Linked DNA regions of Macaca mulatta. The protein of the gene in region 1 binds, or shares a complex with, the protein of each later gene. Links are inferred from orthologs where the notes say so. Each region holds a gene or a part of one and is shown on either strand. Other genes may lie near its edges. The genes, in order: PPARGC1B and PPARA.

Region 1 (15,558 bases):
TGTGCCCAGCTGGGTGACCTCAGGCCAGGCCCCTCCTCTCTGAGCTCTGTGAACCCCGCTGCTGACCCCTTGGCTCCCGCTCCCTCACTGGGTAGTCCTAAGCATCTCATGAGAGAACTCGTGGTCAACTGCAAGGGGGACCTTTGGGATTCAGGAATGACAAGAGTAGGAAGAAAATGCAGTCTGACCAGGGGTGGTGGTAGACCTTGCCCCACAGTACCACAGCCACCCAAAGTCCAGCCACTCAGGGCAATGGTGTCTCTCAGAGGACTACCCACCCTGGCCCTCCCCAAGAGCTAAGGCCCACCGCACCTCGCAAAACCTGACACTGGAAATGAACTTGCCAGGCAGTCAGGGGCCTGGGCCTCCTCCAGCCAAGCAGCTGGGCCTCAGTGTTCTCTCTTCTGGAAACGGCAAGGTGTACCTGATATCTCCAAGGGCCCCCTGCCCCAAGCCTGGAAGGAGAGGGAGCTGCTCATGGTGAAGGTTCAAATCCCAGGTAAGCCGCTCACTAGCTTCAAGACCCTGAGCAACTGACGTAACCTCCCTGCACCTCAGTTTCATCACCTACAAAATAGGGAAAGCCAGTCTCAGTTATTGGGAGAAATCCATGCAATAGCACTCAGAAGTCTCTTCACAGATACACAGTGAAACAGTCACAGATGAAGTGACGGCTTGTACATAGAGACGGCATAAGAGTGGCTGCAAGTCTTCAACAGTGGACGCTGGGTGATGGAGGAATGGGGAGTCACCATACTGTTCTCTCTACTGTCTACTTCTGTATGAGTTGACATTTTCCATAGTCAAGTATTTAAAATACAAAGTTCTTTTCAGAGAACCTGACATTGAAACATATAAAACACTCTTCTAGGCAACCACAGTGCTAGTCCAGGATAAAAATAATTTCTTGTCCTCCCAGAGCTTTCAATCCAGTTGTAGGAATAAAAGCAAACACAGATACCATGGGATAGTAAGTGGCACAAGCCACGTGGGTGGTGGAAGCAGAAGAAGTTAGCTTCAAAGGCTTTCCAGAGGCTGGACGCGGTGGTTCACGCCTGCAATCCCAGCATTTTGGGAGGCCAAGGCAAGCGGATCACGAAGTCAGGAGTTCAAGACCAGCCTGGCCAATATGGTGAAACCCCGTCTCTACTAAAAATATAAAAATTAGCCGGGCGTGGTGGCACATGCCTGTAGTCCCAGCTACTCGGGAGGCTGAGGCAGAAGAACTGCTTGAACCTGGGAGACGGAGGTTGCAGTGAGCCAAGATCACGCCACTGCACTCCAACCTGGGCGACAAAGTGAGATGCCATCTCAAAAAAAAAAGCTTTCCAGAGAGTGCAGGCTTTCGAGAGGGGGCTTAAAGTTCAGGTAGGCTATGAATACATTAAAATGGCAGAGATGGTGGTGGGGAGAGGACATTCCAGTTCATTCCACCAGACTTGGATTAGTCCATCCCTTCTCAGGAACACTCGGACTGAAGATATAAAACAAGAAGCAGCGTCTGCCCTGAAGAGGCTCATAGTCTAGCATATTCATTCACTCAATGAGGACTGATTAAGTATCTGTTATGTTCCAGGCACTGATCTATTCACTGTGGCGGAAAAAAAAGGTGGATGAAATGAACGAAAATCCCTACCTTTGTGGAGCTTAACGTCCAGGAGTGATTTCCTAATCTTCACCTCCCCGGTTCAAGTGATTCTCCTGCCCCAGCCTCCCAAGTAGATGAGAATACGGGCATGCGCCACCACGCCCAGTTAACTTTTGTATTTTTAGTAGAGACGGGGTTTCATCATGTTGGCCACGCTGGTCTCGAACTTCTGACCTCAGGCGATCCACCCACCTCAGCCTCCCAAAGCGCTGGGATTACAGGTGTAAGCCACCATGCCTGGCCTCTTCACAACAATCATAATCATCATATCTTCCCACTTGAGGAAACAGAAGCTCAGAGAGGTTATGTGACCTGCCAAAGGCCTCAAAGCTGGCAAATCGCAGAACCAAGACTCAAACCCAATAAGGGGATTCCAAGATCAGTGCTCTGCTGGCCCTGCATACTGCCACACAGAAGATGGAACAGCTGGCTTGGAGGTGAGGGAGAAGGCATTGCCAAAACAATGGCTGGTGAGCGGCGGCTCGCAGGATGAATCATGGAAATGGAGACGGAGGACACAGAAAAGGGCAGCCCGAGTCTAAGCCTCCAGGAGGAAAATTCAGGGTTTTCCTGGGGAAGTACAGGATCCCAAAGTAAAAGCAGACAGCTCAAGACAAAGTCAAGGGCCTAACTGTCCAACTTAAGTACCTGAAGGCCCTTGGAAATCAGGTTTAAGTTTAGACTTTAATTTTAAAATACTGGAGAGCTGAGTTATCAAGCTATGAAAGTCATGGAGGAACCTTAAATTCCCATCAGCAAGTGACAAAAAAGCCAATCTGAAAACACTGCATACTGCATGATTCCAACTATATGACATTCTGGAAAAGGCAAAACTGTAGAAACAGTAAAAAGATCAGTGGTTGTCAGGAGTTGGGGGACAGAAGAAATGAAAAGGTAGAGCAGATTTCTAGGGCAGTGAAACTATTCTGTGTGATGTTATGTAACCATGGTGGATACCTGTCACTATACATTTGTCCAAACCCACAGAGTGAACCCTAATGTAAACTACAGACTCTGGGGTGACAACGATGTGTCAATGTAGGTTCATCATTTAGAACAAATCTATAACTCTGGTGGGGAATGTTAATAATGGAGGAGGCTATGCATGTTGGGGGCAAGGGTATATGGCAAATCTCCGTACCTTCTTTTCAATGTTGCTGTGAACCTGAAATTGCTCTAAAAAAATAAAGTCTTAAAAGAAAAAAATGTACTGGGGAGCCATGGGAGATGTGTGAGCAAGACAGTGATGTCAGATATGCACTCTAAGAGGACTGATCTGCCATCAGGGCTAAGGACAAATGGAAGAAGACAAAGTCTGGTACGGCAAAGATCTGTTTGGTAGTAACTGCAGGAATCTAGTTACAAACAGACAAAAACCTAGATCAGAAGGGGAGAAGAACAGAAAGATCAATCCAATCAATTCTGCATCAGCTGAGTATCAATGGGATGGATATGAGGCACTCTGACTACCTTGTAGGAGGACAGATAGAAATTGACCCTGATCATTTTCTTCCAAATGACTTTATTTGGGTACCCTTGACTCTCTAATAAGAATTATGCTTCTCTTTTTTATGCAAAATAAGATTACATGTATGAAAATTAGCTCCATACTTGATCCTGTCCTTCTAAAGTGTTTCAAAGAGAGAATTATTCTAAGTTTTATGAGCAGCAGATGAATGCTCATTTTAGATACACTGTATTATTTCACTCCCAACCCTGAGAGTTAGGGCCTATTATCCCCATTTCAAGGATTGAGAAACAGGCCTAGAGAAGCAGAGGGACTTGTTCTGCATTCTTTCTCTTTTTTTTTTTTTTTTTTTTGAGAAAGAGTCTCACTTTGTCGCCTAAGCTGGAGTGCAGTGGCGTAATCTCAGCTCACTGCAACCTCTGCCTCCCAGGTTCAAGCGATTCTCCTGCCTCAGCCTCCTGAGTAGCTGGGATTACAGGCGCACACCACCATGCCCGGCTAATTTTTGTATTTTTAGTAGAGACGGGGTTTCACCACATTGGTGAGGCTGGTCTCAAACTCCTGACCTCATGATCAGCCTGCCTCAGCCTCTCAAAGTGCTGGGATTACAGGCATGAGCCACCGCTCCCGGCCTCTGCATTCTCTCTATACAATCAATGTGGCTTCATTAGCTCAAGGTGCTAGAAAAACAACGATGAACAAAAACCAAGAGTAGTCCCTGTCTTCAAGGAGCTTGAAGTCAAGTAGTCTGGGAACACTGCCCACTAATGCTGGCTCTTCTACTTACTCAAAGGTAATTAGTCTTCCACAAGTCAGTGAGTTCTCTGAAACTGTAAGATCTGTACAACTGTGCAACAGCACCTACATTTTGCACAATCTCTATGAGCATGAAATGTAGTAGTGCAAACAGAAGGCTCAGTAAACTGCATGGGGTCTAGGGGATACTGAGTAAACATCACTGATGATGACAATGATGAAGGAGAAGGCAAGGATCAACACTGCAATGTTCTTGTAATGCATTTCAAGCCTGAGCCCCCTTTGCAAGGCTGCTTCTCACTCGAGCCAGTCTTTCTTCTATTTCAAAGGAAGAAGGAAGAGGGTGACTCACGTGGCATAGTGGAACTTCTGCCTGGCCTGCACTAGCTGCTAAGAGCAGGGCCCCAAAGTAAAGAGGAAATATGAGCCCCTATGGCCCAGCTGCTGGGCCGTTGCCGTTCCTGGGTTTCACAGGCATCCTGATCATTAGCACCAGCCAGGGAATCCCAACGAAAGTGGAGCCCAGGTCTCTGGTGAACATGACCCCTTTTGGCTCAGGTGAAGAAGTTACTCTCCCTAAGTCTTATACAGATGAAGAATGGGCAAATGCACCCAGTGAAGGCTACACTTCAACCTTCTCCCACACACTATACACTTGTCCAAACCCACAAACTGATTTGAAAAAGAAGTTGGCCTTGGCTTCAAGGGGTGTGTGGGGCCATTTTCCCAGTTCTCCATGTGGCAGGGGCCCCTTCTGGGTGCTCAGTCCCAGCTTTAGAACAACAAGGAGACAAGATACCAATTACAAAATGGGCCAAGTTCAGAAACTCAGAACCACAAATCACCCATGATCATATGGGGAAGAAGTTCAGCATCACAAGTAATCAAATAAATGCACATTCAAACAATAAGGGTAACAGAATTTATTGATGAACAGACCGGTAAAAATGAAAAACAATGAAAATATCAACAGTTATCTGGGTATAGGAAACAAGGTGTTCCCAGACTATGCTGGTACGCAAATAAGTACAATCTTTCTAGAAGAGAATCCAGGAATGGGTTTGATGGAGTAATTTCACTTCTAGGAATGTAAAGGAAGGAACAAAGACATACACAAAAAGATATTCGTTTTAGCATTGCTTACAATAGCAAAATAAAATTAAACAACTTAAATGAGTAACGATAAAGGATTAATTAAATACATTTCGGTTCAATCTTCAATGAAACATTATATAATCATTAAGATACTAAGTAGAATATTTACTGATGTGGAAAGATGTTCACAGCATATTGTTTGGAGGAGAAAAAAAACAAGTTACAAAACAGTGCGATTCCAAGTTACAAATCAGTATATTCAGGATAACTCCTTTTTTTTTTTCAGACTGAGTTTCGCTCTTTTGCCCAGGCTGGAGTGAAGTGGCATGATCTCGGCTCACTGCAACCTCTGCCTCCCGGGTTCAAGCGATTCTCCTGCCTCAGCCTCCCAAGTAGCTGGGATTACAGGCGTGTGCCACCATGCCCAGCTAATTTTTGTATTTTTACTAGAGACGGGATTTCACCATGTTGGCCAGACTGGACCCGAACTCCTGACCTCAGGTGATTCACCCGCCTTGGCCTCCCAAACTGCTAGGATTACAGGCGTGAGCCACTGTGCGCGGCGACTCCATTATTTAAAAATAAGATGCGATCTATATGAACAGGAAAGAAACAGTCTGGAAATATACATGACAATTAACAGTGGTTATCTTTGGGTCATGTTATATATTTCTCATTTTTTTCTTTATGCTTGGCAGTATTTTCTAACAATTCTATAATTAAATATTTTTAAATAAGATGTTAGAACAGATGATTTCTAAAATTCCCGCCGCCAACTCTGACATTTTGTGCATCTATGACTGATGCCCTAAGCAACTCCAAATAGTCCATATTTAGTGTGGGCTTGCTGTGTGGCCTTTGGGGCCAAAGCCTTTGCCCACAGCTGTAGCCCTCTGCATTCCTCTCTCCCACACTCACTGCCCAGCTGTCTCCCCTGCCAGCCTGGCAGCTTCTGCTTGGCAGGACCCAGCTGCGACCCTGTCTGTAATCCATGTGCCTAGCCAAGAGCTAAGCAAAGGAACACGGCTCAGCATATTGACAGGTGCCTTGCGGGCACAATGATAAAAGGCACAGCCCTAGTGCTAGAATCTTACTGGACACCAGACTTACACAAAGCGCTTGGTTGTATAACACAGATGCAGAAAACCAGAGGACAGAAAGCATGACGAGCTGGGCTGGGAGAGCCTACTAGAGGAGAAGGCCATGCAGGACGGGTGGGTGAGGGCACTCTGGGCCAGGGGCACAGCCTGAACAAAGGTGAAGCCACCCACAGTCCTTTGGGATTCATGCCTCAAAGCTTTCCAAGAAACTTTCGCAATCCTTGTTCTGCTAAATTTCCGTACTTTGGCCCCAATGGGTAAAAGTTAAGTCTTCTAAACAGAAGTCCTCCCTCTAATCTAACCCTGGATTAGCCACCAAAGACAACAACAATCTTTTGGGACAAAGACAATGAATTACCATTTAATCCACTTTCCCCAAAGCTCCCAAAGGGAGATGGAGGAGGGGAGGATCAGGGAAAGTTTGGGGGAGGAGAGGGGGTTGCAGGAACAACCAGAACATCTCACATGCAAAACAATGCTCACCCCCACCACTGGGCCATTGGATTCTCTTGCGGCACCACCAGCCCCATTTGACAGATGGAGGAAATGAGGCTCGGAGAGTTCAAATGGCTTGCTCCGGGGTCACCCAGCCAGAGAGTGGGGAAGGTGACTCCACTCAGGCCTTCTGACTCCAAGTCCAGTGCTATTTCGAGGTAACACACAGGACCTGGAGTCAGGAGCCCTGGGTGGCTCTGTCACCCTCTGGCTGCATGGTCCCATACAAGCCGCTCACCCCTCGCAGCCTCTTTCTCCAACTGTAAAATGAGGAGGTGCACACTGGGCCCGCCCAGGTCCTGTTCCGGCTGGGCTCTCCGAGCCTTCTAGGGGCGGCTCAAAGCTCATCCTATCAATTACATTTCCCAAGTTGGGCCGGCAAAGATCACCAGAAGATCCTCCGCCTGTCACGTGGTTAAACAAAAAAAAAAAGGCAAACGTCCCAGATTAACTTTCACTGCACTGCTCCTGCTAACACCTGATTATTCAATTTTCTAGTCTCCTTGGGTGGAATATTTCTGCTAGCTAGGCTCGCTGGGCGGCTAAAGGGCAAAATAATTAATTATTGCTGAGCCAAACACTGAAGATCCAGTTAAAATCCGGGGTATGGTCCAAAGCGGACAGTTCTTGACATGGGTCCCTGAACGAGTCTCCGGCTATTTCAGGCCTCCCTCATCCGCATTTCAGCCAAGAGATTTGGAGACGACCCCGGGCAATTTCGAGATCTGGGGACAGAATCTTCCCAAGAGCGACTCTGCCCCTCCTCCCGCACTCAGTGCCCGCTAGCCCCAAGCTGTCGGCTCTGGGGGTACTGAGGCTGGGACCCGCCTTCGGCGCAGACACCGGCGCGGGGCGTGTGACGGAGCCCGGCGACGACGGCGGGAGCTCCACCGCAGTTTCGTCAGAGGTAAAGGTACGCGCCCGGCGCGCGCGGCGTGTGCACACACACACACACACATGCACACGCGCGCGCAACCTACTCAGCACACATTCCCCCCGACCTCGAGAAGCGCAATCACACGCCACTAGCCCCTCCGGCCTCAGCCGCGAACCCACCCAAGCGCGCCCGCCACCGACCACGCGGCCCAGCGGCTCCCCTACGCAGCGGCGTCTGCAGCGGGCCAGGGCCGGCCTGCCTCCCGCGTGGCGGGCTTCCTCTTGGCGACACCCTGCCACGCCACGCCGTCCCAGCCGCCAGCCCGAAGTCGCCACCCGGAGTCCGCCCGGAGCTGAACGTCTCGGCTGCGGCGTCCCCTCCAAGTCGCGTTTCACCGCAAGGAGTCAGCTTGCAAGCCTCTCCCCGCCCACCCGGTCCCATGACAGCTGCTGCCGCCCAAAGACAGGCAGATTATAACAAGAAGCAAAGTTTCCCTCTCTCTCCTCCCACCTCCCTCCCCCCATCTCCGCCTTCCCCCTCCCTTCCACTGTTATGCAAAACGGGCCGGCACCGGCGCTCCCACTCCAGGTATCAAATCAGCCCCCGCGAGCCGCGCCCGGTTCCGCCCGGCTGCCCCTCTCCGTGCCCAGGCGTGTGCCAGCACCCGGGGACTCCTCCGAGGTTCCGCCGCATCTCCAGCTTCCCAATGACCCGCAGCCGGGCGCCCAGAGAAAAAAGCCCTAACTCTGGAGCCAAACTTTATGCTTGCAACAGGCATTGGGTGGGGAAAATGGGGGAAGAGGTGGGGGGCGCGCACGCCTCGTGCTGACATTTTTGGTGGCTGCTTGTCCCAGCAGCACCCTTCTCCCAGTCTCCAAGCCACCAGCTTCCTTGCTCCCCCGCGCCCTGGCACACCAGAGCACCCTCTCCTGTCACGCGCGTGTCGCCAGTGGGGCTCCCGGGCTCAGCCAGAGCCTGGGACTGCGCCTCGCCTTCCCTTCCCCCAGCATCGTGGAGCGCGCACCGGGGCCGCGCACCGCAGGGGGACCCAGGCGCCCCCAGACAGTCCTTCCGCCCCCATCCAGCCTGGCTTTTCCCCCCAGGGGGCTCCGCCCGATAGCGAAACCAGGAAGACGCTGTCTCCGCCCGCGTGTCCACGTGCCCCGCAGACCCCTATGCCTTTAGCCGGCAACTGGCAGGAAACTCCGCGCTGCGGGCGCGGGTAGAAAACCTAGGGGGGCCAGCAACAGCACTCGGGTGACTAGAGCCTGGAGGACTAGGGTACTCCGGAGACCGGAGCAAGCACCCGTGCCGGGGCCACAAGTCCACGTGAAAGTACGGCAGCAAGTGCCGGGAGCTGACGGCGCGCCTCCAGCACCCAGCGCCAGCCTGAGGGTACCTCACACCGTGGCGCGCCTACACCTCCCAAAGGAAGCGCGGTACCCCCCAGGTCTGCCCGCGGGGGGGCAGACTCCAAGCGGCCAAAGCTAGACCCTCCCCAGCGGCAGTAGCGCCCCCAGCGCTCCAGCACGCTCCGGGAAACCTCCGGCTCCCTGCCCCGGTAACGAAGCGCATCGCAGGGCGCCTGGAAGGGGGGCTCTGCAGCCTGGAACCCCCAGTTACCTCAGGGCGCCCACCGCTGCCTCCCGGCCTCCGCGGCTGCGGCTGCGGCCCCCGCAGCTCAGCACCCCTGGCCCTGGGCCCGCAGCCCCGGCCGGCCGTACCTGCGTGTCAGCGAGATAGTTGAGGAAGAAGGAGGAGAGCTCTTCGTCCAGCAGCGCGCCGCAGTCGTTCCCCGCCATCTTCCAGCCGCGGCTGCAGCGTGCGGCGGAGTCAACGCCGAGCCGGCCCGAGGGGAGGGAGCCAGCGAGCGAGCAAGGGAGGAGGGAGGAGGGAGTGAGGCCGGCGGGAGGCGGAGGGCGGAGCTCGAGCCCCCGGCTGCCGCAGGGCCGCTGGCTGCGGGGGCGGGGCCGCGCGGCGCCCGCGGGAGCCGGGGGTCGCTCACCCACTTTCCTGCGCCGCGTCTGGCGCCGAGACCGGCTCCCGCAGCCCTCAGCAGGGGGTAAAGCACAGGCAGCCGGGTGGCGGTGCCCCAGCCAGCAGCCCGATGCCTGCGCAGCAATGCGGGCAGCCCCCGGCTCCTGCCAGAACGAATCACATTGCGTTAGCGCTGGGCGGACCCTGCGAGACAACCTGCTTCTGCACAGCTGGGGAAACTGAGACTCAAGAAGGCATAGGACCTCGTTTGAAGCTACAGCTCACATCAGTTGCAGGAAGGGAAAGCTCAGGTCTTACTCCCCTGGAGGATTGAGTTTCTCTACCCAGGCTACAAGGCCAGAGAAGGAGGGAGAAATACCATAGATCAAAAGAAAAGAAATCAAGAAAGTCTCCTTGGAGGAGGAGGCATTTTTATCTTTTACTTGAAGGGTGCGTTTGCCTACATTCTGTGCTAAACCTGATCATATATGTCTCTCTCTCATCGTCCCCCAACACCCTTCCCCCAAAAAACTCCAATGAGTTCTCTTACCAATGCCCACAATGCATGAAGGGGCTGGGCTCCTGCCAGCCTCCGCAGGCCCACTCACAACGGGCTTGTACACCCAGCAGCCATTCACCTAGTAATCTCTTCAGGGCATCTTTCCCTATTACCCCTCGGACTGTCAAGCCATTTCCTCTCCTTCCACCCCAACCATGATGGGCTCCCTTAGCTCCATCAGCAGGCCTTTTTTCTCTAAAAGCTGGTCACAGTTGCCATTTTACATTTGTTGCAGTGAAGACTTAATCTTTGTATCTGTCTTACAAGACGCTAACATCATGAAAGCAGGGCCTAAATCTGCTTTTGCACTTGCTGTATCCGCAGTTCCTGGCACACAGTAGGCACTTAATAGATGATGTGTTAACTGAAAAGGCTGGAGAATTTTGATTCTCTGCCACCACCACCACGCATTATACAGATAAGGAAACTGACTGTCAGTGTGTACATGGAGTGACTGCCTGAGCCAGAACCAGAACTCAAACCTCCTGACTCCAAACTTGAACTCTCATCATCATGCCCTGTTGTTTGCCAGACAGGAGATGAGGGCACTGCCTGGATGAAGGCAAGAAGGCGGGAAGCTTTAGGTCTGTTTTATTGGGCACACCTGCCTCCTGCCCTCCCACCCTACACTCATAAGGGCTGCCCCACCCTGCCCACCTAGCAAGGGCTCCCTTCCAGCAGGAGAAGGAAACAGAGGGAGAGTCCCCAGCACACCTGCTGAGACTTGAACACCAGGGCAAAAGCTTCCTTCTCCAGTCTGAGGTTCCCAGAACCGCAGGGCGTGATTTCACTCTTTGGGCTTAAGGCCAGTGTGCTTTTAAGGAACAATGCATTCCAACAGAGAGCCTGCCTCTAGCCTCAGAGCCCTAGACTAGGAGTCAGGAGTCCTGGGTTCTGTTTAAGCCCTGCATCTGGATACTGGAACATCTGGTTTGTTCAGGGGGTGAAGAGCATGGGCCCTGGAGTCACACTGCTTGATTTGGAACCATAGCAAGTCATTTAGTCTCAGGCCTCAGTTTCCTCATCTACACAAATGGGGACCAAAAAACCACCTACGTCATAGGGATGTTTTGATGATTGAGGAGATAATATATGTAAAGTGCTTGGCCCAGTGCCTGACCTCATGGAGAATATGCTAAGCGCTCTGTTCTGTTTCCCTTCTGTTAAAATGGGAATAAGAAATATATATCCCTTGAAGGCACTAGCCAATGTTACTTGCCTTTTTTCCAGCACTTACAGGCTGCTGACTGACTCTGGACTCCAATACATTCAGATTTGAATCCTGGTGCAAACTAGCTATGTGCCCTTGGTCATTTACTTAACCTCTTTGAGCCTCAGTTTCCTCATCTGTAAAGTGGGGATAGCAATGGTACTGCTTGCTCCACATAGGGATCTTATGAGGATGGATTGAATGAAACAATGCAATTCATGTAAAGTCAGTTGCCTGGCCCTGAATCTTGCAGGCAGGAAATGCCCATCATCACTATAGTCATCACCAACATCACCAATGTCATCGCCATTAGCGCTAAGGACTTGAACTCTCCCAAGACCCCATTTTTTTGCTACTCTCCTGGGCACCAGAGTCAGAGTCCTGTGGGATGGTTTCCGGAGATGTCCCTTCCAGGCCCAGCCTGGCCCCTGACCGGTGGTGTGTCCTTTACAGCCCAGAGGCCAAACTTTGGATGACCAAACTTTGAAGTATTCCCAAAGCCAGCCATCTCTAGCCTTGGTCCTTGCAGAGTTGCCATTCATTGCCTTGCCAGGGAAGGCCCGACAGCACTTTCTCAGAGGCTTTTTTGTTTTTAAAACTCCCATGTTGGTAGAAAAGCCACACATTGCCCAATGTCAAGGACTTTCTCGCCAATCACTATATCCTCACAACAGTCTTCTGGCTGGCAAGAAACTTAGGCGAGAAAGGGCCTCACCTGAGATATCTAGCCTCCTTTTCAAAAGCATATTGTCCCAGAAATTCCTTCATCACAGGTCGCTCACAGAGTCTCAGCCTCATGGAGGAATTTGAAGTTCCTCTGGCCAGTGGAAAAATGTGAAGTTCTTAACTGAGATTAAAAGTCCTGGCCTGGGTGTGGTGGCTCATGCCTGTAATCCCAACAGTAGAAGGCTGAGGCCAGAGGATCACTTGAGTCTAGGAGTTTGAGAACAGCCTGGGCAACATAGGGAGATCCCATCTTTACAAAAAATACCAAAAAAAAAAAAAAAAAAAAATTAGCCAGGGGTTATGGTGCACACTCATGGTCCCAGCTACGTTGGAGGCTAAGATGGGAGCATCACTTGAGCCCAGGAGGTTGAGGCTGTAGTGAGCTGTGATCATCACTGCCCTCCAGCCTGAGACCCCATCTCAAAAAAAAAAAAAAAAAGCCCTCAAAAAGCCTGAGGTGCTAGATGATCTTGTGCCATTTGCTTCTCTTCTCTGAGGCTATTTTCTTATCTATAAACTGAAGGAGCAGCCTGGCCTGGTGGCTCACGCCTGTAATCCCAGCACTTTGGGAGGCCGAGGCAGGTGGATCACCTGAGGTCAGGAGTTCGAGAGCAGCCTGGCCAACATAGTGAAACCCCATCTCTACTAAAAATACACAAATTAGCTAGGCATGGTGGCAGGCGCCTGTAATCCCAGCTTCTCAGGAGGCTGAGGCAGGAGAATCGCTTGAACCTGGGAGGCAGAGGTTGCAGTGAGCCTGAGGACAAGAGCGAAACTTCGTCTCAAAAAAAAAAAAAAAAAAAAATGAAGGAGTGGTCGGTTGGGTGCACTCTAGCCTGGGGACAAGAGCGAGCCTTCTTCTCAAAAGAAAAAAAAAAAAAAAGAAGGAGCAGACCAAGCGCAGTGGCTCACAGCTGTAACCCCAGCACTTTGGGAGGCTGAGGCAGGCTGATCACGAAGTCAGGAGATCTAGACCATCCTGACTAACAGGGTGAAACCCCATCTCTACTAAAAATTTAAAAATATTAGCTGGGTGTGGTGGTACCTGCCTATAATCCCAGCTACTAGGGAGGCTGAGGCAGGAGAATTGCTTGAACCCAGGAGGCAGAGGTTGCAGTGAGCTAAGACTGTGCCATTGCACTCTAGCCTGGGCAACAGAGCAAGACTCTGTCTCAAAAAAAAGAAAAAAGAAGGAGCTAGCCTAGATGAACCTCTGCAGAGTCCTGTATCCCAAATGTTATGGCAGTTTATAGACATCAACCAAAACTTAGAGCTTTTCTGTTCTGAGCATGTGCCCAGCGCCTGAGTTTATAGCATCTCTCATCCTTCCAGCAACCCTCCATAGGGTAAATCATGATGTCCATTTTATGACTGAAGAAACAAAAGTTTAAAGGGGGTTAAAGTGATTGGCCCCGGACTACATAGAGTCAACAGCTCAGATATGAACCCAGGTGTGTACACAGTCCAAGCTACAGACACTGGAAAGGGAGGGTGAAAAATCTCATAGCATCTAACCTCCCCATGAAAGCTAGAAGGGCAGCACATTTCTTGTTTGGTAACTTCCAAGTGAAGGGCAATAATAATGCCAAGCTTGGACATTGTGTGGCTTGACTCCTATCTTCTCTGCCTTTTTTTATCAGCCTCGTCTCCCTCAAGATTAGTGAAAGTGAGCCTTGTGCATACCTAGTGCAAAGCGCAGAGATCGCCAGGCTCCATGGAAATGGCTACAGCAAAATGAACCTATTTGACTTGAATACTTTAGTCACTACCGACAAATGCTCAAAAGTTGAAACATCAGCATTTTCTCCTTTCCGATAGCAAGATAATGCTTTATTCAGACCCTACATACAGCTGTGGTTCTCAAACTCTGGAGGGCGTGACAGTCACTTGGGCTCTATCGCCAGAGATTCCAATTCAGGAGGTCTGGGGTGGGCCCAGGAATCTGTGCTTAATAGGCTCCCTTAGGTGACTCTACTGTAGGAGATGAGACACTATTCAGCAGATATGTAGTGAGCAGCTACTATGTGCCACCCACTGCGCTAGATGCCATGGATAAATTGGTGAACACAACAGCCGCCATCTCTGCCCACATTCTGTTCAATGCAACTGCTTAGTAAATTTGTGTTGAATGAGGGAGGGAGGTAGGACGTGGGTCTTGATAAACGCAGAGGCTTCCTGCCAGCCACCCACGATTCTGTGATTCTGTGACCCAGGCCAGGGAGCCAGATGCTCATCTATTTCCCAGCTTCTGTCCAGGAGGCAGGGACTCAGGCCAAGAGGAACTAAAAAGCTGCCTGCTTTGTATTGTTGATGCTGAAAACCATCTCCACCTCCCATTGAATGATAGAACTTTAGAACTGTGGAGGGGCAGTGGAAAGGTGTTTTCCACCAGCTTCACTGTATAGGTAGAGGAATGTGGCTAAGGTCACACGGCCCTTTAGTGGCAGAGCCAGAACTGGAAGCCAGGGCTTCAGATGGTGTGTGGAGTGCTCAGATGGCTTCCATAGGATGAACTTCTCCTCAGGGCTGATCCTTTAGAACAACATCAGCTAGATGGTAGCATTTGAGGGTCTCAGAGTCAATGATTGGGGCCTTTGACTCTTGAAAGCCCATGAAGCAAGGCTCTTTGTGTTTAGCAATGCTCTCTTCTTCCTGTAGGGTTAACCTATGAACTCACCAATGCATTTGGGGGAAATAGCTAGCAGATCACTTTCTGTTTCATAGGCTACAAGTGATTAAAGCGCTTTCAAATCAGCAGGTAAGGGGCATTAGCAGCTATAATGTCAGTTATTACTGTTTCCCAGTTTTGCAAAAGCCTCATAAATCCTCCTCCTTCATCCTCCTCAGCCCCATAAATGACTGCACAGAGCATGGGAGCAACAAAATTAGATAGGGATAGAAAAGTGTGCTTTTTCCTTATCTACTCACGGAGCAAAAGATCCTAGACAGGACCCTCCTTATGCCCATTTAATAGACGGATAAACAAAGGCCCAGAGATGAGAGTTCTTTCTTTTCTAGAGAGATACAAATTCTATCAGGTTATTATTTAAATATATATACACATTTTACATATATATATATACACACACACATTAGAATGATGTATATTTGTGTCAGAACTGCAACATTTAAAGAGACAGTCACCTGACATTAAAGGGCAACATAGTTTATATTAAGTTATTTCTAAACTCAATGTAGGGCACCTATGAAATAAGACAAGCAGATGGAAAGAATACCTGAGTACCTGTTATTCTTTATACTTTGTCTCTTATCGGCTTTGGGATCTTGGGAAAACCACTTCTTGGTAAGGGTCATCCTATCTGTTGTACCTGACCTAGAGTTTTTTCAATTATATATTTTTATTATATATATTTTATATTTTAATTATATATTTTTATTTAGAGACAAGGTTTCGTTCTGTCACACAGACTGAAGCGTGCTGATGTGAGCATAGCTCACCGCAGCTTCAACTTCCTGTGCTTAAGTGATCCTCCCTACTTAGCCTCCCAAGTAGTAAGGACAGTAGATATACCACCTTGTCCAGCTAACTTATTTATGTTTTTGTAGAGACAGGGTCTCCTTCTGTTGCCCAGGCTGGTCTCAACTGACCTAAAGTTTTGTGTGGATCAAATTCAGTTTACACAGGA
Region 2 (15,595 bases), on another chromosome or scaffold:
CTCGCCTTGTTAAATATCAGTGTTGGCCGGGCGCGGTGGCTCACGCCTGTAATCCCAGCACTTTGGGAGGCCGAGGCGGGCGGATCACAAGGTCAGGAGATCGAGACCATCCTGGCTAACACTGTGAAACCCCGTCTCTACTAAAAATGCAAAAAATTAGCCGGGCGAGGTGGCAGGCGCCTGTAGTCCCAGCTACTCGGGAGGCTGAGGCAGGAGAATGGCGTGAACCCGGGAGGCGGAGCTTGCAGTGAGCCGAGATCGCGCCACTGCACTCCAGCCTGGGCGACTAAGCGAGACTCTGTCTCAAAAAAAAAAAAAAAAAAAAAAAAAAAAAAATATATATATATATATATATATATATATATCAGTGTTGCCCAAATCACTTCCCTTTCGCCATATCCCTTCCCTATGAAGTCAGTTGTTTGGAATTTAAATCCATGATCTTGCAGAAAGAAAGAGGATTTTATCTAAATAGATCCTCAGGCCATCTTATAAAAATTCTATTTAATCCATAATATACACCAAACCTAGTGGTGATTACGAAGAGGACCATTTCAGTGGCAGCCCTCACCTTCCTAACACCGTTGTAATGGGAAGTACATATTGGACATCTGGAGGGAACACCCTGTCAATACAGAAGGAAGAAGAGCTCTCTCAGTCTAGGTGTGGGGGAAGCTGCAGGGGCCTGGGGCAATTTTGCTGCGGTGGGATGGAGCGGGCCACCATCTGTAGGGGCTGCTGTCTGCACTCCGGTTTAGGTGCCCCCCCATCCAGCCAGCTCCCACCCACATCTCAGTACTGTGGTGACCACAGACGCCCATCAATACATTCTTCTAGAATTAAATCCTGTTAATCATGTACTTATTCCAGGAACATTTACAAGTACCTACTCAGTTTATAGGTCTAGCAGGGCAGAAAGAAGTAAGACAACCTGTCTGCCCTCAAGGAATTAGTCTCAGTGTGGACAGTCAGACTAACCAGGAACCAGGGTGCCGGCAGCACCGGGCCATGGTTTGACGGAACTGTGTCTGGGCACGGGGAGATTCACTGGGCCTGCATTTCAGCAGATCCCTCTTCAAGATGAAGAGGCCTGGTTCAGGTATGCCATGGAGTTGGAGTAAAAGCAAATGCAAGGTGTAGCCCCACCAAAATCTGAGGTCACAATCACCTTCAAAACACACAGGAGGCCGGGTGCGGTGGGGCTTACGCCTGTAATAGCGAGACTCTGGGAGGCTGAAGTGGGTGGATCACCTGAGGTCAGGAGTTCAAAACCAGCCTGGCCAACATGGTGAAACCCCATCTCTACTAAAAATACAAAACTTAGCTGGGCATGGTGGCAGGTGCCTATAGTGCCAGCTACTTAGGAGGCTGAGGCAGGAGAATTGCCTGAACCTGGGAGGCGGAGGTTGCAGTGAGCCAAGATTAAGCCACTGCACTCCAGCCTGGGTGACAGAGCAAGACTCTGTCCCAAAAAAAAAAAAAAAAAATCACATAGGAACCACTGGTAACAACTTTATTGTACTAGTGGAGAACTCTTAATTGTATATTCCAAAATGAAAAACAATTTTGGTGTGTAAGAGGCGATGGTAGTATGTTGCTTTCTGAAAGCCTTTGAAAAATCCTAAAATGGCCAGAGTGAAAACTACACAGGTATCAGACCTGGCTAAGTGAGAAATGCAGGAGCCAGCGGTATGTCCTTGTGGGGAAAAGAAAGAAAGATCAGCCTGTTACTGTGTCTATATAGGAAGAAGAAGACATAAGAGACTCCATTTGGTTCTGTATTTGAGATGCTGTTAATCTGTGACCCTGCCCCCAACCTTGTCCTTGCAAGAGACATGTGCTGTGGTGACTCAAGGTTTAATGGATTTTGGGCTGTGCAGGATGTGTCTTTGTTAAACAAGTGCCTGAAGGCAGCTTGCTGGTTAAAAATCCTGCTGGTCCCTGGGCAATGGAACATCTCGGTGTGAGACTCGATTGTATGCTCTGTTTACTGAGATAGGAGAAAACCGCCTTACGGCATAAGGCGAGACTTGCTGGCGCAATGCTGCTAAGAGGTTTATGGAGATGTTTGCATATGCATATCAAGGCATAGCATTTTTCCTTTATTCATGTCACAGAGATCTTTATCCATCCATATGTTTTACTGCTAATTTTCTCCCTTCGATGATCCTATTGTCCTGCCACTCCCTTATCTTTAAGATGGTAAAGATAATTATCAATAAATACTAAGGGAACTCAGAGACCGGTGCAGGGCGTGGGTCCTCTGTATGCTGAGCGCGGGTCCCCTGGGCCCACTTTTTCTTTGTCTGTGTCTCATTTCTTTTCTCAAGTCTCTCCTTCCACCTAACGAGAAACACCCACAGGTGTGGAGGGGCCTTCACCCCTTCACTCCTTCTTAAGACACCTCCTGAGATGGGCAGTTTTTTAAGCCACCACTTTGAGCTTCACAACCCTTCAGAGAGGTGGCATGGAGAGGAACTTCATTTTCTGATGAGAAAACAGCAGTTTAAAGAAGGGAACAAAGGTCTCCAGGCCTGGCAGGCAGCAGCTAAGGGGCTAGAATCCAAATCTCATGATTAATGACCTAATACCTTTTCCACTATATCAAGCTGCTTTGCTGATACAAAGCAAAATTTCCAAATTTTCAACCACTTTTACCACATGTGAGCCTCAAAACAAATGCAGCTTAGCTGCAAAGATAACCATGACAGGGTGAGACCTAGCAAGGAGTAAGTTATTTTCTTTTCAAATGCATAAACTTTCAAGACACCATAATACCACTATTAAAAGACGCTAATTAAATATCCTAAAAGCAAAGAATGCACACACCTCTGGGTAACAAGCAAATCTGGTCCTGTCTGGAAAACGTGCCTGCATAGCGGCAGAAATACTTGGAAAAAGAAATACATTCTTTTAAACATGGGCCACTGGAACAGCTAAGGCTTTTTCCTGTTTGATTCTTACCTTAAACTCATCTTATCACCAAGCTGGAAATGTAAATTTTGTGCCCAAGTTTCCCTAACCACATGGCCTTAAAGGTGATCTAGCTTATTCTATGCAATTCATAAGACATAGCACATTTCTACCCCATAATCAGAAACTATACCTTTTTAAAAAGTATCTAGAGCTGGGCGCAGTGGCTCACACCTGTAATCCCAGCACTTTGGGAGGCCGAGGCAGGTGGATCACCTGAGGTCAGGAGTTCAAGACCAGCCTGGCCAACATGGCAAAACCCTGTTTCTACTAAAAATACAAAAATTAGCCGGGCGTGGTGGCATGCACCTGTAATCCCAGCTACTTGGGAGGCTGAGGCAGGAGAATCCCTTGAACCCGGAAGGCGGAGGTTGCAGTGAGCTGAGATTGCACCACTGCACGCCAGCCTGGGCAACAAGAGCTAAACTCCATCTCAAAAAAAAAAAAGAAAGAAAAAAAAAGAAAAAGAAAAAGAAAAATGGACTCTATGCCAAGCTACCAAAAACAAATAAAAACAGCGACTCTCAAGTTCCAAAAAAGCAGAAATTAGGCCACAACCTCTAACTGCAATGTAACAAAATTAGTACAAACATTAAAGAAAAACACTGGCTGCTTAGAAGTGAAGACACTCATCCTATTTGCCATTAAAAATATATCCATCCACATACAGAAACCAAGAGAGCAAAAAAAAAAAAAAAAGAGAGAGAGAAAAAAATTGGCACATTTCAAATATATTTATAATGAGCAAATAAATATTTTAATTAATGTTTTTTTTTTTTCTAAAAGACCACTTAGGCCTGGTGCAATGGTTCATGGCTATAGTCCCAGCACTATGGGAGGCTGAGGCAGGAGGATGGCTTGAGCCCAGGAGTTTGAGACAGGCCTGAACAACATAGCAAGACCCCGTCTCTGCAAAAAATACAAAAATTAGTCAGGCATGGTGGCGTGTGCCTGTGGTCCTAGCTGCTTGGGAGGCTGAGGTGGGAGGATCACCAGAGCCCAGGGAGGTCCAGGCTGCATCAGGCCATGATCACGCACCTGTGCTCTAGCCTAGGTGACACAGTGAGATTCTGTCTCAAAAATAAGTAAATAAATAAAATTTAAAAGACTGCTTAATGATGACTACATAAATATTTATTTATTTTTTGAGACCAGGTCTCACTCTGTCACCCAGGCCGGAGTGCAGTGGCGCCATCTCAGTCACTGCAACCTCCACTTCCCAGGCTCAAGGGATCCTCCCACCTCAGCCTCCCAAGTAGATGGGGCCACAGGCACACGCCACTACACCCGGCTAATTTTTGTATTTTTAGCAGAGGCGGGGTTTCGCCAGGTTGCCCAGGCTGGTCCTGAACTCCTGGGCTCAAGCAATCCATCTCCTTCGGCCTCACAAAGTGCTGAAATCACAGGCGTGAGCCACTACGCCTGGGCTACTTAAATATTTATTACAAAAACAGACTCTCCAAAACAGCACACAAGAAACTGAACACTGACCACCAATTACTAAAGAGTAAGATGTCCTGGCAAGAATAGGTTCTTCATCTTTTACCATGAGGAGGATTATCTTTACGTTTCCTTTTTATTTCTGGTGTGAAAATCAGTTTCATGGATCCATGCTTGTCTTGTTCAGCATTCGGGACAGTAGCCCACAGCAGCTACTCAGTAAATATTTATAGAATGACTGCATTAAATACATACACATATATAAAGAGATTGGTTAAATATTATTGTATCTAAACACAATAGGATATTATATATACATTTCAAATGATGCAGAAATGTTTTCCACATAGAAAGATTTTTCATAACCTAGTCAATAAAAAGTTATAAAATAGTTTATAAAGAAGACAGGTTTTCTCTTTCTTCTCTCTAGTTCTCTCTCTCTCACATACAATTTTTTTTTTTTTTTTCTGGAGACGGAGTCTCACTCTGTCACCCAGGCCAGAGTGCTGTGGTACCATCTCAGCTCACTGCAACCTCCCTCCCGGGTTCAAGCAATTCTCCTGCCTCAGTCTCCTGAGTAGCTGGGACTACAGGCGCCTGCTACCACGTCCAGCTTAATTTTCATATTTTTTTTGTAGAGACAGGGTTTCACCATATTGGCCAGGCCGGTCTCAAACTCCTGATCTTGTCATCTGCCCACCTCAGCCTCCCAAAGTGTTGGGATTACAGTTATGAGCCACCGCGCCTGGCTGATACACTATTTTTAAAACTCTGTTCATAAGTTTGATAAACAGGAGCTGGTGAAAACCACTGCAGTATTTGATGATTATGGCATGTCTCTTACTTTGTGTTTAAGACGTCGGAAAAGGGCCCGGCACGGTGGCTCACGCCTGTAATCCCAGCACTTTGGGAGGCCGAGGCGGGAGGTTCACCTGAGGTCAGGAGTTTGAGAACAGCCTGGCCAACATGGCAAAACCCTGTCTCTACTAAAACTACAAAAATTAGCTGGGTGTGGTGGTGAGTACCTGTAATCCCAGCTATTCGAGAGGCTGAGGCAGGAGTATCACTTGAATCCGTGAGGCAGAGGTTGCAGTGAGCCAAGATCGTGCCACTGCACTCCAGCCTGGGTGACAAGAGCAAAACTCCATCTCAGAAAACAAACAAAACAAAACAGATGTGGGAAAAGAAAGAAAAAACATTTTTTCCTACTGTCGGTTAATTAATTTTATTTTATTCATTTGTTTTTGAGATGGAGTCTTGCCCTGTCACCCATCCTGGAGTGTAGTGGCACAATCTCAGTTCACTAAAACCTTCACTTCCCAGGCTCAAGCAATTCTCCTGCCTCAGCTTCTTGAGTAGCTGGGATTACAGGTGTCCGCCACCACGCCCAGCTAATTTTTCTATTTTTTTTTGTAGAGATGGGGTTTCACCATGTTGGCCAGGCTGGTCTCAAACTCCTGGCCTCAAGTGATCTGCCCACTCCGGTTTCCAAAGTGCTGGGATTACAGGAGTGAGCCACCGCACCCAGCTTGCCAATTAATTTACTTTTGCTTCGGAGTTACACAGGTCATCATCAGCCCCAGTGTCCCTGGTCTCTCATGAATGGTGACCACACAAATTCATATCATCTGGCCGTTTCTTCAGCCTATCCTTGGCATGTTCTGGCATTGGCCTATCTCAACAAGCCATCTACTTAATATTCAAATCAAAATGAAAACAGCTCAGAGACGGTATACTGCTCGGTACCAGTCAGTGTGGACATCCCAAGGGTCTGCTAAGCACCCACATTTCTCAAAGTTAATGTTACCAAGTTTTAAATTATACAAAACATGCCTGCCATGAAGCAATGAAGTTCCCAGCAAAACTCACACAATAACTCAGAACTTAAAAGTGAATCCTAGGCCGGGCACGGTGACTCACGCCTGTAATCCCAGCACTTTGGGAGGCTGAGGCAGGTGGATCGTGAGGTCAGGAGTTCAAGACCAGCCTGGCCAAGATGGTGAAACCCCCATCTCTACTAAAACTGCAAAAATTAGCTGGGAGTGGTGGCAGGCTCCTGTAATCCCAGCTACTCTGGAGGCTGAGGCAGGAGAATCGCTTGAACCCCAGCAGCAGAGGTTGCTGTGAGCTGAGATCAGGCAACTGCACTCCAGCCTGAGCGACAGAGGGAGACTCCATCTCAAAAAAAAAAAAAAAAAAAAAAAAAAAAGTGAACCCATGCACATGTATCTTACTTTCAGTCTGAAAATGTATCTAACCTTGCATCACAAAGTAATAACCCCCAGATTGCTGGTCTGTAGTACAACAACAGTAAACACTGAAAACACTTAAATATTTCCATCTGGAAACAGTAAATTAAACCTTCTACTTACCTGTGGTGACAGCTTCTCAGTTCTGAGCTTGTCTTGCCACAAACTGTGAGTCCACAGAGCAGACGGGGCCCTGAGCTTCAGCCTGGCAGTAAGAAGGTGAAGGAGGAAGTGATTACGCTATGTTCTCTGAATGCCCCCCAACTCTTCACCTTGGAAGAGGAAAGTCATCCCGACCCTGCCCAGCAACGACAGGGGGTGTCACAGGGTCCTTCTCAGTAAAACCCCGTGTCCTTGCCCTGACCCAGTTCCTCAAGCCACCCTTATCCCAAGGAGGCTGGGAGAGGAGGGGCCTCCCTGGTTTCCTGGCAGGGGTCGGCGGGGGCGGCGGGGGCTGACGTGGTCGTGCAGCCCCGGAGGTCCCACGAAGCCCAGGGCGTTGGACAACTGTGGGTTTTTCTTGGAAGGAATCCTGACACTTGGAGCACACTTCCTCTCTTTTAACTTTTAAGAAAGGCTTCAGAAAAGCACAGGCGTGCAGTTGTGCCCTGTTAGTTGGGGTGAGTGAGGGGACAGAGCCGACCCTCCGGACTTCCACTAGCACCACCCCGCGCCCCTCCGGCTTCACCCGCACCACGCGGGCCGCGCAGCGCGGGACTCCGGAAAGACCTGGGCGCCCGACCCGCAGCCCGACCCGCAGCGGCCCCGACCGGCAGCGACGTGGCGCGGCTTCCGCAGAGAAGCCACCCGGCCCAGCACAGCCTGTCTGGGGTCGCCCCGCCGCGTTGGGGCACAAAGTGGGAACCGTTCCTCAAAGGTGGCCGCAGCTGGAAGAACAAACACGCGCGTCTCCGTCCGACGGCAGCAGCCGGGCGCACCCACCCAGGGTCGGTCTGTCCGGGGCCCGGGTTTCCTCGCCTCGGGGATCCCTGGAGGTCTCGGAAAGCACCCTCTGAGTCGGGGACGCCCCAGCTCCACCGCGCCGAGGGAAGGGCAAGCCCCGATGTCCCTGCCCGTGGGCCCTCCCTCCCAGGGGACAACCCGAAGACCCAGAGTCGCTGCGGTCCCCAGACCCGACCTCCGCGCAGCGCCAAGCCCCAGGGACAGCCGCGGACTCTGGGGTTCCGGGCAGGCCCCCAGCGCTAGGAGGGAGGCCGAGCTGGGCCCCGGGATCCCTTGCACGAGTCCTCGGTGTGTGTCCTCGCTCCTAGCCCTCAGGTCTCCAGCCGCGCACCCCGGGCCCTCAGGTCCCCGGGACCCCGAGACCCCTGGCCCCGCGCATGCGCCGCCCACCCTCTGCCCTTCCCCCGTCCGCCGCCCTCCGGGTCCCGGGACCGGGAACGCACGGCCCGCGGACCCCTGCGCGCGTGCCCGCCCGCCCGCCCCCGGGCACCTGGGCCGCGGTCCGCCGCCTGCCGGTCCGTGGGGCGAACGCCCAAGGAGGCGGCGCCGGGCAGGGCGCTAGCGGCCGCCTCCGCCCCCGCCGCCCGCTGCCCCCGCCGCGGGGCCGCCGCGTCCACGGCCCATGCTCGGCGCCGCCTCCGCGCGTCCGTGCCAGCCGCGCCCCCGCGACACGCACCGCCCCTTGGCCCGCCCCCCGCCCCGGTCCGCTCGGGCGAGTGTCCCGAGGCCCGACCCGGAAGCCCCGCCCGCCCAGCGCGCCCTCCGGGCCCCAGGCCGCGGCCCCGGGACACACCCCCCGGACGGCGGCGCCCGATTGGCTGATCGAGGTGGGCGGGGCCCCGGGAGCGCTCAGCGGCTCCCACCTAGCGCCTCGCGGTCGCTGCAGCCAAGGGAAACTGAGGCCGGAGAGGTGGAGGGGCTGTCCAAGGTGACCGACGGGACACCGCTGAGCGTCGGCGCCCCTCCAGCCCGAGGCACCAGGGTGGGGCTGAATTCTAGGCGTGGACACGCCGCGGGGCGGGTGGAGGTTCTCGCCGGTCGCCAGTGCCACGCTGGCGAGCCCCTCCTGCCTTCTCGATGAGCCCGGCTGTGCCGCTCTGTGCGATAAGCCGGTCTAGACCCGGGACCCGGGACCGGGTGCTCTTGAGTCTCAGAAGTGCGTGGGGTGGGAGGCGGCCCGGGAAGGACCTTGTCCCTGGAACCCCAGGATGCAAAATAAGGAGAAGGGGAAGGCGAGCTGGGAGGACAAGGAAACAGGTGGCGAGAGGTGCCAGGGCGGTGTGGCGGGCGGGGGAACGAGGAGGGTGAAGGGCAACGCGGACGGGCTCGGGGAGGCGCCGCCAACTCCGACCCCACAACCCCACCCCTCTCCAGCAACCCGAGACCCATGCCCGCCCCCTACTCCATGCGCTGGGGGGTGAGGGACTGACTTTGTGCCCACGTAAGGCACTGGGACTCTGCCAGCGCAGGGGGAGGTCGCGGCCTGGCGGCCAATGGCGAGGAGTAGGAGAGCGCCCTGCAAAGCCGCTTTGTTCGCGCCGTGACGCCCGAGCTCCCCGCGCGGAATGCACAAACCCCCTTGGTGCCGGCACATCAGGGCGCCCATCCTTGGGAACGCAATGTGTGCTATGCCCGCCCCACTGCCTGCCCTCCACTGCCAGCTGCGCCTGCCACTGTGCTATTTGTGGCAGCCGGCGCCCAGGAGGACCCACTCCGGAAAGGAAACACAAATCTCATTAGGCAGGGGAACTGGAGACCAGGTGGGAACTGGCCCTTTCACAAACTTCTCTTAAACTCACCCTAGTTGATTAGCCAGGCACCTGTGGTGAACTTTGTCCCACCCTCCAGACACCCATATATCCTTCCCACTGGCACACCGCAGCCTCACCTTCTCTTGCACATGCTAGCCAGCAATAGCTAAGATCTATGTTATGTTTCAGAGTTTACAGGGTGATCCGCACACGTAATATCCTGGATATCTCGCGGGGGGTGCAGGCAGCCACATCCACGCTTGTCATCCTGCTGTGTTTGGTGAGGGAAGCTGACACTCCGCAGCCCACGCAGAGCTCAGGGGCTATATCCTCATGAGGACCTCTGGGCTCAAAGATATTACCTGGTGTCCCCATATCCCAGGCTCTCAAGGACCAGGGTCCACACAGGTGTGTTGGCTTCTTTTCCCAGATGCACCACCCAGGTCAACCAGGTGTTGAAAGACCTGGTGAACCTTCTCATGAACAAGGACAAAGGCTGTGTGGGGGTCTGTAGAGTGGTCATTTACACTCAGCAGACACAGAAAACTGATATTCTTGGGTTTTTGGGGCTCCCAAGGTTTTAGGGAGAGAAAACTTGTTTTTCATCCATGTGTCCCAGAAATAAGCATTTTCAATCAAATGCTGTCAGCCAGTCTCCCGCAGGCGTCCCGAGGGTAGAAGCAAGTTCAGGACTCTTCTCTTGGGCCAGAAACAGCCCCGCATCCACTGCCTCCCAGGGGTGGTAGGTTTCTTTTGGGAAACCACGCTCAGATGAGAGAGATGAAGCAATTTTCTGTTGGCCTCGAAGACCTTGTCACACACCCAGCATGGGAGCAACTGTCACAAAGGGCACACCGCCACCCCCACTCCCAGCTCCAGAAAGTCTCTCTTTACCTTCTTCAGTGCTGATGAAATGAGGAACAGAAACACCGCTGGCGCAGGGACTGAGTAGAAATCTGTAACTCTGAGGACAAATCAGTGCTCTTGAAAATGCCTCTGAGTGCCACCTGAGTTTCCGCTCTGGAGCCTTAGTGACTGCTGGGAGCATCTGGTGCATGAGGATCTTAGTTCATAGCTACCATTTATGTGGTGACAATGCCATCTCAGGTTCCGTTTTGCATTTTCTGATCTGGAAGATGTTCTGAGGGTAATTATTACTGCGCCCACATTACCAGATGGAGACTGAGGCACAGAGAAGCCCCGTCTGCACCGGGTCCCCCAGGCCAGTGGCAGGGCGCAGGACGGAAGGCAGGTCTGTAGAGCCCATATCTGCCCTGCTGAGCCGCTCACTCTTGCAAGTGCTGGCCTGCCAGCCAGCCAGAGAAGCCGAGGCCCTCCCACGGCCTCAGGGAAAGAATTGGGAAGCTGGGAATTCAGAGAGGAAAGGGTTGCTGGAGGAGGCAACCTGGAGTGATAGGGCTTGGCCGCTCAGTACTGGGCAGCAGGTAGACCCTGAGTGTTGGGAGCAGGTGATGACAGCCATTTGTGTTCAGGCACCCAAGTGCTTTCCCTGACACTGCCAGGGTGAAGCTTCTCCTATGGGCCTGGGGTCCAGACTGGAGTCTGTTTGCCATCCAGGGCCTGCGAAGTTTGCTGCTGGCTTGCCCTCTGCTGATGCGCACAGCTCTCTGTCAAGGGGGAGTGTATGCTTCCAGGGCATCATCCACCAGGGCAGTGGCCTCTGAGCTCCTGGAAGCGCGCCTGCAGGGTCAGGTGCTGGAAGTCCACTGGGGCAGGGGCCGTGGGCTGAGAAAGGGAGGGTTCACTGGCAGCGAGCAGGGAGCTGCTTGGTGACCTGAGGCTGGATCTTGTCGGTAAGGGCGAACCATGGGCATGTCCTTGGTTGCCATCCTGGTATTGACAGCAAAACCCCATGGGTCCAAGGTAACGAAGTATTGTCACACTAGGGGACAGAATCTATAAGAGTCCCACAAGGCAGCTGTGATTATGCCCATCTTACAGATGAGGAACAAAGGGCCAGGAATGGCAGCATGTGGCCAAGGTCCCCAGCAGGGAGTGAGAACTCTCCCGAGTACCAGTCCATCAGCACCTGGCCCTGGGTACCCCCAGGGTTCGGTTGTCTGTTGCAGACGCTGTCTGTGGGCTGATACGACAGCCTCTGGCAGACTCAGGAGCCCGGGGCCAAGGATGGGATTTCACTGGTGGCTGGTCCTGGCCCCACAGCTCCAGTGGGGGTGGCAGCAGCATGTGCAGAAGCTTGTGGCAGGAGAGAGGGGACACGTTCACAGGGAGAGAGTATGGAGATGGCACAAGGCGGGCAGAGCTGGGCAAGGCCCTGGTCAGGCAGGTCTTGCAGCCCAGTGGGAAGTATGACTTTGGTCCTAAGGGCTGCAGGACACCTGCGATGGAGGGTTGTCAGCAGAGGCGTGACTCCATCAGATTAGCACCAAGTGCTGCTTGCTACATGTTAACCAGTGGTCACAGCTGAAGTGGGGGGGAGGGGCTTAAGCTGTGCATCCATTCTAGCTTTGCAGGATCTGGAAGCTTCTGCAGGTCCAAAAACTGCTGCTGTCATGACACTCTACCCTTTGTTAATTAACCAGTCCCCAGCTTTGCAGCAGGCCCCATTTGACATGGCTCAGATGTCTGTCTCTATAGATCTTGAGAGGACCAGGGCAGCCCACCTGCGGCCGCACTGCCTCCCTTCTTTGCACCTCCAAAGGGACAGGTGCCCCCCTCGTCACATAGGATCCAGCTCCAGGGCTGGATCATGGATGTCGTTTATCCAGTCCAGGACATGGACTGGAAGCTGCAGGACCCCTGCCTGTGTCATGCTAGGTGCTGTGGGAGTCTCACTGCAAAGCGTGATGTGAGGATCGACGGATTTTCTTTTCTTTCTTTCTTTCTTTTCTTTTTTTTTTTTTTTTTTGAGATGGAGTCTTGCTCTGCACTTGTGCACTTGTTGGAGTGCAGTGGTGAGATCTCAGCTCATTGCAACCTCCATCTCCCAGGTTCAAGCGATTCTCCTGATTCATCCTCCTGAGTAGCTGGGATTACAGGCACCTACCACCACACTAATTTTTTGTATTTTTCACACAAACAGGGTTTCACCATGTTGACCAGGCTGGTCTCGAACTCCTGACCTCAGGTGATCTGCTCTCCTTGGCCTCCTAAAGTGCTGGGATCACAGGAGCCACTGCGCCCAGCCAGATAGTCGTATTTGGTCCATGAAGGATGATCTACTTTACATGGAGTTGGATTCTGCAATGATCTGACTCAGTGGCTGGCAGTGAGTGGCACTGCTGCAGGCAGGGAAGACTGAAAGTGCAGAGATGAGGCTTGGCATGGCGGACTGGAAACGCACAAGGCGGGCAAGCTTACGTGTACAGCACCCTGCCGCCTGGGCACTATCCCCCCACTTTCCATCATAGAACGAGTGGGCAGTGCCTGGGGTTTGGAGTTCAACAGAACTGGATTCAAATCCTCCTGTATCTTTTTCTCACACTACAACCTCCAGCCGGTGATGCTATCCGAGCCCCCTTATCTCTAAAGTGGGGCAGGAACACCTGCCTCGATGGGTCCTGGTGTGAATTTGAGGAGGGAGCACAAGGGTGGTGCAGGGTGGGGCCTGATGAGTGGGTCATATTTGGGACATGGTAACCACCAGCTTGAGGGCTCTGCCAAGAGTTGCCGCCTACAGGAAGCCTGCTTGGCAACCGTCCCCCTGCCAAAGCCACCCTCTGCCTTGTGTGGCCACCACCTCCTGTGTTCCATGTGGCTCTTGTCACATCCAGCACCATCTTTACAGGGCCCACTGCCTGGTCCTGTCTCTCCACTCAGGACAGCTGACAGGCAGCCCTGATGCCTCGCAGACACCAGCCCCAGTGCCTACGTGTCTCCCGCCCATGATCCCCTGTCCCACCCTGTTATCTGCCTTTCACCAAAGAATCCTGCCAGCCAGGAAAGGCAATGTGAACTGGAGCCCGTGCAGCTGAGTGGAGGGGAGGCTGCCCTCTCGCATTGCTCTGCCTTGGGTTTCACTAAAATATGGGATTGGGCCATGGTCCCTCATCTCCTGGAAGGGACAGGTCACGTTTAACAAAGTTTTCTGGGTCTGCAGCAAAGTGAAAACAAAAAACAAAAGAAAACAAAAACGGACATTGTGAAGAGTTTCCTATAGAACTTCAACTAGCTGATTTAAAGAAATAGCCTCAGGGACGGGCACGGTGGCTCATGCCTGCAATGCTAGCACTTTGGGAGGCCGAGGCAGGTGGACCACCTGAGGCCAGGAGTTCGAGACCAGCTTGGCCAACATGGTGAAACCCCATCTCTACTAAAAATACAAAAATTAGCCGGGTGTGGTGGTGCACGCCTGTAGTCCCAGCTACTCTGGGGGCTGAGGCAAGAGAATCGCTTGAACCCAGGAGGCAGAGGTTGCAGTGAGTGGAGATCAGCCTGGGTGACAGAGTGAGACTCTGTCAAAGAAAGAAAGGAAGAAAGGAAGGAAGGAAGGAGAAGGAGGGAAGGAAAGGAAGGAAGGAAGGAAGGAAGGAAGGAAGGAAGGAAGGAAGGAAGGAAGGAAGGAAGGAAGGAAGGAAGGAAAATAAAAAAAGAAAAGAAAAAAAGAAATAGTCTTGGGCTGGGCATGGGGGGCCTGTAATCCCAGCAATTTGGGAGGCCGAGGTGAGTGGATCACCTGAGGTCAGGAGTTCAAGACCAGCCTGACCAACATGGTAAAGCCTGTCTCTACTAAATACAAAAAAGTAACTGAGCGCGGTGGTGCATGCCTGTAATCCCAGCTACTTGGGAGGCTGAGGCAGAATTGCTTGAACCCTGGAGGCAGAGGTTGCAGTGAGCCAAGATTGCGCCATTGCACTCCAGCCTGGGCAACAAGAGCAAGGCTCCGTCTCAAAAAAAAAAAAAGAAAAAAAAAGAAATGACCTTTTCTTCAGGCCAGGCATAGTGACTCACACCTGTAATCCCGGCACTTTGGGAGGCAGAGTGGGGAGGATTGCTTGAGGCCAGGAGTTTGAGACCAGCCTGGGCAACATAATGAGACCCCATCTCTACAAAAAGTGAAAAAAAAAAAAAAAAGTAGCCAAGCAAGGTAGCATGTGCCTATAGTCCCAGCTACTCAGGAGGCTGAGGTGCAAAGATCACTTGGGCCTGGGAGGTTGAGGCTGCAATGAGCTGTAATCGCACCACTGTACAGCCTGAGCAACACTGAGAGACCCTGTCTCAAAGAAAAACAGAGAAATATCCTTTTCCTTCCCAAGACTATATCCTTTATGTTCTTTTTTTGTGGTTGAAAATACCTTTCCTTAGTGGGAATTGCTTAGATGAAGTGTTGATAGTAGTTGTAGGGGTTGGTTAGCTTTGACTTGGCAAAACCAAGATATTGGCAAACACCGTGTCTGTCCCCAAAGCTATTGAAAATGGCACCCATCCGTAACAGCCCAAGGTCCAGGGGCCGCCCCCTCACTCCTCAGATGTGTTTTATTTACTGATAAACACACAGCACCAAGAATTCCTGACATTTTTCCAATATTTCCATGCCAGCTCTCTTCTCCATTTTATTAGTGATATTTATTTTCAAGTCAACACATTGGTTTGTGTTGAGACTTGCAATGTTGGAATATAAAGTTCTATGTGAGGCCCTGATTTTGATCTTTGACAAAGCCAAGGAGCAGGGTGTGGGCTACAACCTTGAGAACCTGCAGGAGCTATGCCCACACGGGCCTTGGCTTGCATGCCATTGGGCACCCTCCCGGGGGGGCCCCGGCCTGGGGAAGAGCCTCCTCTCTGCCTGGGAGCCTCGAGGTGTGCAGAGGAGGGAGTTGGCTGGAGCCAGATGTGTGAAGGCAATCAGTGTTTCTCTGCAAGGTGACGGTGGCACGGGGCAGGCAGACACAGGACCAGCATCCTGGCAGGCAGGGTTGTTGGATGGCTGGTGGGGAAGACAGGCTGGGAGACTGTCAATTCATCGTTCCCCCTCTCCAGGTGGGGGCATTAAACTAGATCAAAGCATCTTGGTGAGTGTTCGTGCTAAGTTGAGTTTTTAAAACAAAACCAAATAACTAGCTAGGGGGTGCTCAGTGGGTGCCAACGACTGAGTTGGCCTTTCCGGGCATGACCTTGCTTCCCTGTCCAGTGTGCCCAGTGCTGACTTTCTCAGAGAACATGGTGGGCTCCGGGCTCCTGTGGAGTTGCCAGGACATTTTCTCAGCTCTGCCCATTCCCTGGCTCCCTGGGACTTCG

What was found.
Region 2: the proteins of PPARGC1B (region 1) and PPARA are in contact, whole or in part, in a crystal structure (PDB 3SP6), measured with the Homo sapiens proteins. The link is inferred for Macaca mulatta from reciprocal best matches to the Homo sapiens genes PPARGC1B and PPARA. Residues at the interface, in NP_573570.3 of Homo sapiens: Ser154, Leu155, Leu156, Gln157, Leu159, Leu160, Leu161, Thr163; in NP_001001928.1 of Homo sapiens: Val284, Thr285, Thr288, Glu289, Lys292, Phe297, Leu302, Asn303, Gln305, Val306, Leu309, Pro458, Leu459, Glu462, Ile463.

The regions. Positions count from the first base shown.
Region 1 is NC_133411.1:158,686,559-158,702,116, reverse strand, and holds the start of PPARGC1B (peroxisome proliferator-activated receptor gamma coactivator 1-beta), read right to left. Parts: upstream 9,275-15,558; 5' UTR 9,242-9,274; coding exon 9,164-9,241; intron 6,752-9,163; exon of another isoform or gene 6,686-6,751; intron 1-6,685. UniProt on the Homo sapiens protein: Plays a role of stimulator of transcription factors and nuclear receptors activities. Activates transcriptional activity of estrogen receptor alpha, nuclear respiratory factor 1 (NRF1) and glucocorticoid receptor in the presence of glucocorticoids.
Region 2 is NC_133415.1:5,331,163-5,346,757, forward strand, and holds the start of PPARA (peroxisome proliferator-activated receptor alpha), read right to left. Parts: upstream 8,248-15,595; 5' UTR 8,116-8,247; intron 8,092-8,115; exon of another isoform or gene 7,605-8,091; intron 6,888-7,604; exon of another isoform or gene 6,868-6,887; 5' UTR 6,786-6,867; intron 1-6,785. UniProt on the Homo sapiens protein: Ligand-activated transcription factor. Key regulator of lipid metabolism. Activated by the endogenous ligand 1-palmitoyl-2-oleoyl-sn-glycerol-3-phosphocholine (16:0/18:1-GPC). Activated by oleylethanolamide, a naturally occurring lipid that regulates satiety.